Linked DNA regions of Neurospora crassa OR74A. The protein of the gene in region 2 binds, or shares a complex with, the protein of the main gene of each other region. Links are inferred from orthologs where the notes say so. Each region holds a gene or a part of one and is shown on either strand. Other genes may lie near its edges.

What was found. The genes of interacting proteins can lie anywhere in the genome.
Region 1: NCU06485 (region 2) and NCU05251 share a complex: the UniProt entries of both Saccharomyces cerevisiae proteins name them as parts of the RNA polymerase I (Pol I) complex. The link is inferred for Neurospora crassa OR74A from reciprocal best matches to the Saccharomyces cerevisiae genes RPA49 and RPA12.

The regions. Positions count from the first base shown.
Region 1 is NC_026504.1:5,596,174-5,599,712, forward strand, and holds NCU05251 (DNA-directed RNA polymerase I polypeptide), read right to left. Parts: upstream 2,143-3,539; 5' UTR 1,604-2,142; coding exon 1,489-1,603; intron 1,366-1,488; coding exon 1,131-1,365; intron 1,060-1,130; coding exon 1,041-1,059; 3' UTR 673-1,040; downstream 1-672. Other genes in the region: NCU05252 (deoxyhypusine hydroxylase), read left to right, coding at 1-72, 156-672; NCU05250 (hypothetical protein), read left to right, coding at 2,998-3,175, 3,308-3,488, 3,539-3,539. UniProt on the Saccharomyces cerevisiae protein: DNA-dependent RNA polymerases catalyze the transcription of DNA into RNA using the four ribonucleoside triphosphates as substrates. Component of RNA polymerase I (Pol I) which synthesizes ribosomal RNA precursors.
Region 2 is NC_026503.1:1,582,178-1,585,872, forward strand, and holds NCU06485 (hypothetical protein), read right to left. Parts: upstream 2,535-3,695; 5' UTR 2,462-2,534; coding exon 2,308-2,461; intron 2,235-2,307; coding exon 1,909-2,234; intron 1,856-1,908; coding exon 1,025-1,855; 3' UTR 501-1,024; downstream 1-500. UniProt on the Saccharomyces cerevisiae protein: DNA-dependent RNA polymerases catalyze the transcription of DNA into RNA using the four ribonucleoside triphosphates as substrates. Component of RNA polymerase I (Pol I) which synthesizes ribosomal RNA precursors.

The sequences.
Region 1 (3,539 bases), on a different chromosome or scaffold from region 2:
GTGCGAGATTGCGATTGATAGGATAGAGTGGGAGAATTCGGAGGAGAGGAAGCAGGAGAAGTTGCGCCAGAGGTACATTGACATTGACAACATCATATTTCTGTTCTGGCATTCTTTCCATTGGTGTGCTAACCGCAGAAAACTACTACTTCTAGTGACTTTGCCTCGGTTGATCCCGCCCCTCCCATGCCCGAAGACGACGAGAAGCAAACGGTCGAGACGCTCGAGAAGAAACTCCTAGACACTTCGCTCCCCCTCTTCAAGAGATACCGCGCCATGTTCGCCCTCCGCGACCTGGCCTCCCCTCCCGACCTGCCGACTGCCGTTCCCGCCATCCTGGCCCTGGCCAAGGGTCTCAAGGACGAGTCCGCCTTGTTCCGCCACGAGATCGCCTTTGTGTTTGGACAGCTGTCGCACCCGGCTTCCATCCCGGCCCTGACCGAGGCCCTCAGCAACCTCGACGAGGTCAGCATGGTCCGTCACGAGGCGGCCGAGGCTTTGGGCAGTCTGGGTGATGAGGAAGGGGTCGAGGAGACGCTGCTCAAGTTCCTCCATGACAAGGAGAAGGTCGTTCGCGAGAGTGTGATTGTTGCGCTGGATATGGCCGAGTTTGAGCAGAGCGGCCAGGCTGAGTACGCGTTGATACCCGAGGTTGCTAGCAAGGCGTCGTAAAAGATGGGACTTTGAGTTTCTCTTGTTGGTTCGTTGATTGCGTTCGTTGATTGCTTGTTTCTTTTTCTTTTCTGGGGCGAATCATGGATGGATGGATGGAAGGGTATTTCAAAAAGTTTATGCGTCTTTCTCTCTCTCTCAGGATTATACCAATGCGACTGATCGTCGGTCCTGACAAAAAGAAGGGGTATCGTTGTTGTAGTTGTAGTAGTTGTAACAAGGCAAAGAAAGCCGTCGTTACTAAAGCTCGGCTTGCCAATGCTGGTGCTAGTAAGCTGTCCCATATGTCGTTGGATCCAAACCAAACCAATGCGACCCAAACAGCATTCCCAATTTTGTAAATCCAATTGCAGCAATCTTCTTTGCACTCAGTTGTTAACCGACCATCTGTGTTGTACCTCGAATTAGCACAAAGCAAACCACAGCTATAATAACCGTCCGGCGGTGTCGCATCATACCTCTCTCCGCAGTCGCAGTTGTACAGAATTGTTGAGCCTTCGTCGGCACTTCTCTGCTGAACTTCCGAGTAACGGATACCGCGCTTGCCGCACTTGGGGCATTCTGTGTTGGAGTCGATTCTCTCCGTGTTGAGCTCGTGCCTTACGACGGTCTGGACGATATCCAGCTTCTGGCGCAAAAGCGAGGGGAAATCGGACGGCTTGGACTTGGTCACGACGGTTCTGGAGGGACGATCTAGAATGAAACCAAGAAAGATGGTCAGTTTGTTCAAGTTGCAATCCTCGGATGAAATAAAGCTTCTTCTTGAACACCGTCTTCTGGAGGATATTGACTGGGTAAAGTGAATTGAATGCGCACCTCTGTTTTCGGCACCGCAGCATTCACAGTGAAGAATGTTCTTTTCGCTGCCCTTGGAGACGGGCAAGAGGTTGCCGCAGTCTGTGCAGAAAATGAGGGATCCGATGGCGGCCATTGTTGTTTCTTCTTGGTTTGTGCCGGAACGGTGGTCAAGGTACTGTAGGTTGTCTGATCGATGTCGGCGGTTCGGTTAACTTGAAGTTTTCTGTTGTTTCGTTCTCGCAGTAAACACCGGCGGACTTCAAGATTTACAACGGGCCTGCATGGAGACGATCAATGGCACGGCAAAACCATGGCAATTGATTGGGCGCGCAATGGAAAATTCCACTGGGGGACCCTCCTGGCTTGCTTCCTGGCAGGCAACCTAACTTGCTTGGCAGCGAGCAATGAAAGCCGGGGCAGGCTACAGGCACCTAGACGTAGGTACTTTAGCATGGGCGATGACGAGTGACGGCGGAAGGCACAACCGCAACAAGGGAACCATCCATCCACGCTGATGACACGGCAGGTGGGACCAAGGGAATCTGCCCCCCCAAGGCCCCATATCCAGCGCAGGCCGCGTGTTTCTGGCGCTGAGTTGGGTTCAAGTTGAATTCGTAAATTGCAAGCCAGACATGGAGACGCGGCAAGCACGACCGAGCGCGCCAACACGCCTGGGGTTAGGTAGGTAGGTAGTGTAGCTGGGCAAGTACGGGACGGCCACGGCACGGCATGGCAGGTGCTAGCTACCTACCTGTGCAGTACCGGCCGGGGTTCGGGGACTCGAATTACAGTAAGTAGCGTGACCGCGCGCCGTGCCCACCAAGCTCACAGGGCTGTTTCCCGTGTTGGCGTTGTGCGTTGCCCGTGCCTGCCCAGTGCCCGCCCTGCTTTGCGGATCAAATCTGGGGAAGGGAAACATACATTTGGATCCATTGGACTTTCCTTCCCTTGAGTTCCAATTTGGGTACAGTACCTGAACTTCACCTTCCTTGAACCTCAACATCGACCACACGTACTTACCCACCTCTACCTCTCTATCTTTAATCGTGCCCGATCCCACCTACCTTAGCTATTTCTATCTGTCTGTTGACCAGTCCCCTCACTCTCAGGTTCTGTTCAGTTGTTGGTCCGAACACATCGAAGCGACGACATGGACACACTACCTGTGCCTGCAGCGTGATTTCCTCTTTTCCTCAACCACCATCATCCATCTTGTCTTCTCCAACTAGTCCATCCGACGCGCCCAGGCCAACACTGACCCGCCGCGGGACAAAGGCCCCTCCTCCGCGACTGCCTACACGATTCCGCCGAAAGCAGTCGGTTCGCATGGCAACAACACCTCCGGCTCTCGTCTGAACTTTGGGCTCCGGGTCCTGACGTGGTACTGCGTCTACTACTGCCGCCGCCGCTGCTGCTGCTGCTGCTGCTGCCGCCGGTGCCCTCCGGCTGGGACGACATTTGCGCCGGACACACCCAACCATCCAAATCACCATGCGCTAATGCTGCTGTCAAAGTGATCAAGCAACAATGGCATACCAGCATCCATACCACCACAGCATGGATCCCAACGCCCAAGACTACCATGGCTCCCAAGGCGCGCCGGCGTCCTCATCGACGCAACAAGCTGTGGCATTTACGAGACCTTTTGCCCTCTACGAAGCTCTGCCCTATACGCCTTTCACCTCGATCGTGCCTTTCGACCCAAGTAAGATCAAACCATCCCAACTCTGAGACACTCCATGTTTGCTCCTCCCCCGTATATCGTCATGCCTATCTCCTCTCCTCTTCGTTCCAATATCGTCACGCGAGTCCTAACCATTCATGTCTTCACCTCTAGGTATCTTGCCGACACCCTCGATCGGAGCTGCGTCGCCCGCCCCCAGCTTGATCGACCTCCTCAACACTCAGGACTTCGATGGCCTCAATCAAGAACTTCACAACACAGGTCCAAGCAAACGCGTTCAGCACACACTCAGTCAAGTCCAGCACTTGATAGAGAGGGCGAATATCACAGAGTTGTACGTTTTGACGAGGAAGTGAGGAAGAGTCAGGACTGACCACCTCACAGC
Region 2 (3,695 bases):
TCGGGGACGCTTTGGGGAGGCACAAGGGGAAGGAACTTCATCGTGGGGTGATCGGCTTCGGCCCAGCCCTACCTACCACCGACGGCGTCTCACACCGCGGGGCGGCCAGCGGCCAGCGGCCAGCGAAAGGGGACAACGGTAGAAGGTGACGCCTGGGCGGATGCCCATCCAGGGCAGCCATATAACTACCTTTTCATCTTGTTTTCTTCTAGCCTGGCCGTCGGCTGCTCTGATATCTGCGTAGGATTTGCCGCGGACATTCTTCCTGTTACATATGTTAGCTTGACGTTCGTGGTTCTGATTTTGCACATCAACTGGCGTTAGCTGGTTCAGGTTAATGATCATCTCTGCCCCATTACTCATCTCGAAGCCCGTCATCAGTTCCCATCTTCGTTATTGGGTCCGTGCGGATATCAGTAGTAAACAAACACAAAGGGGTTGGCCAAGCGTTGAGGCACTTGAGAACCAGAACCCAGGGGGGCCAGCTTTTTGTGGGGTGACCCTTTTCCTAGATTTCAATGTCATCTCTTTGACCCCATTCAGAGCTTGATAAAGACTGAGGGACAAGCTTCCCGCCATACTTCTTATGGCCCATCAATTTCCATGACTATTCTCTACATTGTCTATACAATGATATATGCTTTCTAGCCTAGCTTTTACTGCCCGAACCACAAAATAACTGATGTATACCTCGGCAAGATGCTCAAATAGTGCGGTACAGGTCATGGCCTCCTCTCGATTAGGCGCTTGGAATTTTGATTGGCCAGCGCCTGGGTGTCGCTTGGGTGTGTCTCAACAACACACCATGGTGGTTACAGGCTGGAAGCGGCCAGACTTCCAACTGAGCTGGATGATCGCTTCTCTCGCAAAAAGCATGCCTTTTCTCAGCACTTCGTAGGGTACTTCCAAACGTAAGCGCCAAGATGTCCAATGTAGGACTGGGTGGATGATGTGCAATGCGCACAATCCAACTAAACTTGATGATATGATCCGTGGCCGTGGGTCCGGCTCAGCAAAGCGTGGTTTACCTCTTCCGTGCCGGCAGTCTGATCTTGGGAAACTGAAGAGGCAGTTGCAGGACGGCAAAGTTCTCCATCTTGTCAGCGACCTTCTGTTGCTTGACGCGAGCTCCAATCTCGATAAAGTATTGGTTGAGCTGCTTCTGCTCCAGCTTCAGATCTTCTCTCAAGTCAATCGTGTTGACCCTGAAGCCGTCGATGATGGCGGCAAATGCGCAGCAGTGCGTCATCAGAAGGTCAACGTGTGTCTTGCGCATGACTCCGCCGTCCGAGAACTTGCGGCGGATGTTTTCAATCACGATCTCGGGCGCTGGTGCCATAACCTCGCGCAGCTTATCCCTCTTACCAATGCTTCTTGTGCCACGCTCCCTTCCTTGCGAGGTGGCATTCCAGAAAATGATGACGAACAAGAGGTACCGCAGTACCCTCAATCTGTGCACCGCGTCGTCGCTGCTTGCTACGTTGGAAACGCGCTTGGCGACAAAGCGCGAAGGTACCTGGATGTCTTCTAGGTTCTTGACGCTCTCCTGCCAATCCATCACTGGTATCGCGTTCAGGACCTCGGATCCGATAATTTGGGATGGTACGTAGACGTCTGCGATTTCATCGGCATTGAAGTTGCCGCGCGGTACCGGTCGGGCGTTGTCGACAGCGGCTTGAAGGTCTTCCTTGGTCGACATGTCCTTGGTGGCGGTCTTGATGGCGTCCATCATCACCAGCTCGCTCTGGCCAACCTTTTGAGATGTAATGGCGTTCTCCGTCACGTCGCGGATCGCCTTCTTCGCCTTCTTAGTACCGAATGCCTCGCCGAGCTCGTTCCTCATGGCCATCATTTGCTGTTGCACCGTCAGTCTGGTTTTATGCCCCTGACCACTACTTCCAGGCTTACCTGTTTCTGAGTCTTCTCTTCCATTGCCTCGTCAACCGCCTTCTGCGACCTAACTGTGCCACGGAGCACCATCTTGCGCGCCTCTACAATCTCAACCTCGGCGGTTTTGGGGTTGAAGATGCCAATGTAGTGCTTCAGGTATGGGTCGGACGAGTCTCCTGTCCTATCTTCGCGAGCTGTGTAGTCCATCGTCCGGTGGTTGGCAGAGTGCAGCAGCAACTCTTGTGCGGGCGCGCCATTCTTCTTGCGCTTCGAGGTCTTGTCGGCTGGTGTGGCGTAGGCTTGAAATTGTATGGACGAAGAGAGAGCGAGTCCCGAGGTCGCGGCTAGGAGCGCATGTTAGAGTCTTCCTCCATTGGACTTGACGGCCATGGTTTCAGCCGATCAACATGTGCTTACCCACGACCGGAGGCGCATACTGCGGCCTCTTCACAGCTCCGACATTGATGAACTTGGGCGACTTGGACGATTTCTCGGAGTCGACCTTCTTCTTCTTGATTTGGGGTGTTGTATCCTCAGCGCTCTTGCGCTTCTTGTCTGATGAGCTTCCCATGGTGGTGTTTGCGGGCTACAAAGGTGCTGGGGTAGTGTAGAGTCGTGAAGTCCCGCCAAATCAAATGGATCATGCAGCTGGAGAGTCGCTGTCTGAACTTCCGAGTGGATCCCGCAGCCAGAAAAAAATTCTGCCGCCTGCCGGGGTCCGGTATCAGTTACCGCCTTTACAATCGACACACCACATTTGATGACGACGATGCAATATGTTTGATGATTTGTGTTGAAATACTACGAAGCGCGAAATCTTCATGCTATGAAATCAATTGCTATTGGTTTGCTGTTAAATTGCTTGGAGAGATGAAGAATAGCAAGCCGCACGCGTGCTAAAACAATCAACCAGACATGGAGGGGTTCAGTCCAAGTCACAAGGCAAACCAAGGCTTGGGACGCGATTTCTATGCCCTCGTGCATGCAGGCCACTGCCTTCCCCGTCGTTGAAAATGTTCACTGATGTTGCAAAAATTGGTATTCCCTTTGTGTGCAAATGCCATGTCACCTGTTCGAGGGCAGATGACCATGTTGTCGACAGAAACAATTGATCCAAGACATGCAGTCCCGTTTGTCACAGATGCAGAGAAGTGTATCATGAAGCGAAGCGGCCTTTATTGTTGCTGCGACGGGTATCCCGAATTCGCGTCTCCAAACTAGACAGTTTGCTCCCACCGGCGTTGATCCGTAAACACCTTGTTGCTACTCAACCATGAAGTTGACAGGCAACCAGCCAATACCATATCCGCCACCAAACAGTTCCGTTCTATGTGTGCCACAGTTTGATGTGCAGCATGTCCCGAGGGGTGCATGTTCCGTAGGAACCCTGAGTTCGCCTGATCACCGCAAGGTTTCAGAGCGACCGATGTGGCGTCATTCCGCGCTGAGGGGAGGAGTCGACACCGAGCCCAAGTTGTCTAATGGCTTAGAGGATAATGTCAAGAGCTGATTGGGTCGAGTGAGGCGAGGCGTTTATTTGCTGGGATCGAGTCAGCTTATATGCTCCTGAGTGGCGATTGTAGCTGCATCAACTGTCGATGCGCCGATGGTGAAACTTACGATCTCGCTCTCATCTTTCTTCTCTTGCGCTTAAGGCGTCTCACGCGCTTCTTTCTCCACTTCGCTCTCATCTTGAACTGCTTGTATGTCAGTAGGCGGGCAAGCAAATGCTGGGGGGCGGGAGCGCGTACATCTTGGATTTAAAGATGAGTTTTGCTTGTTGGTGATGGGAAAGAGTTTCAACT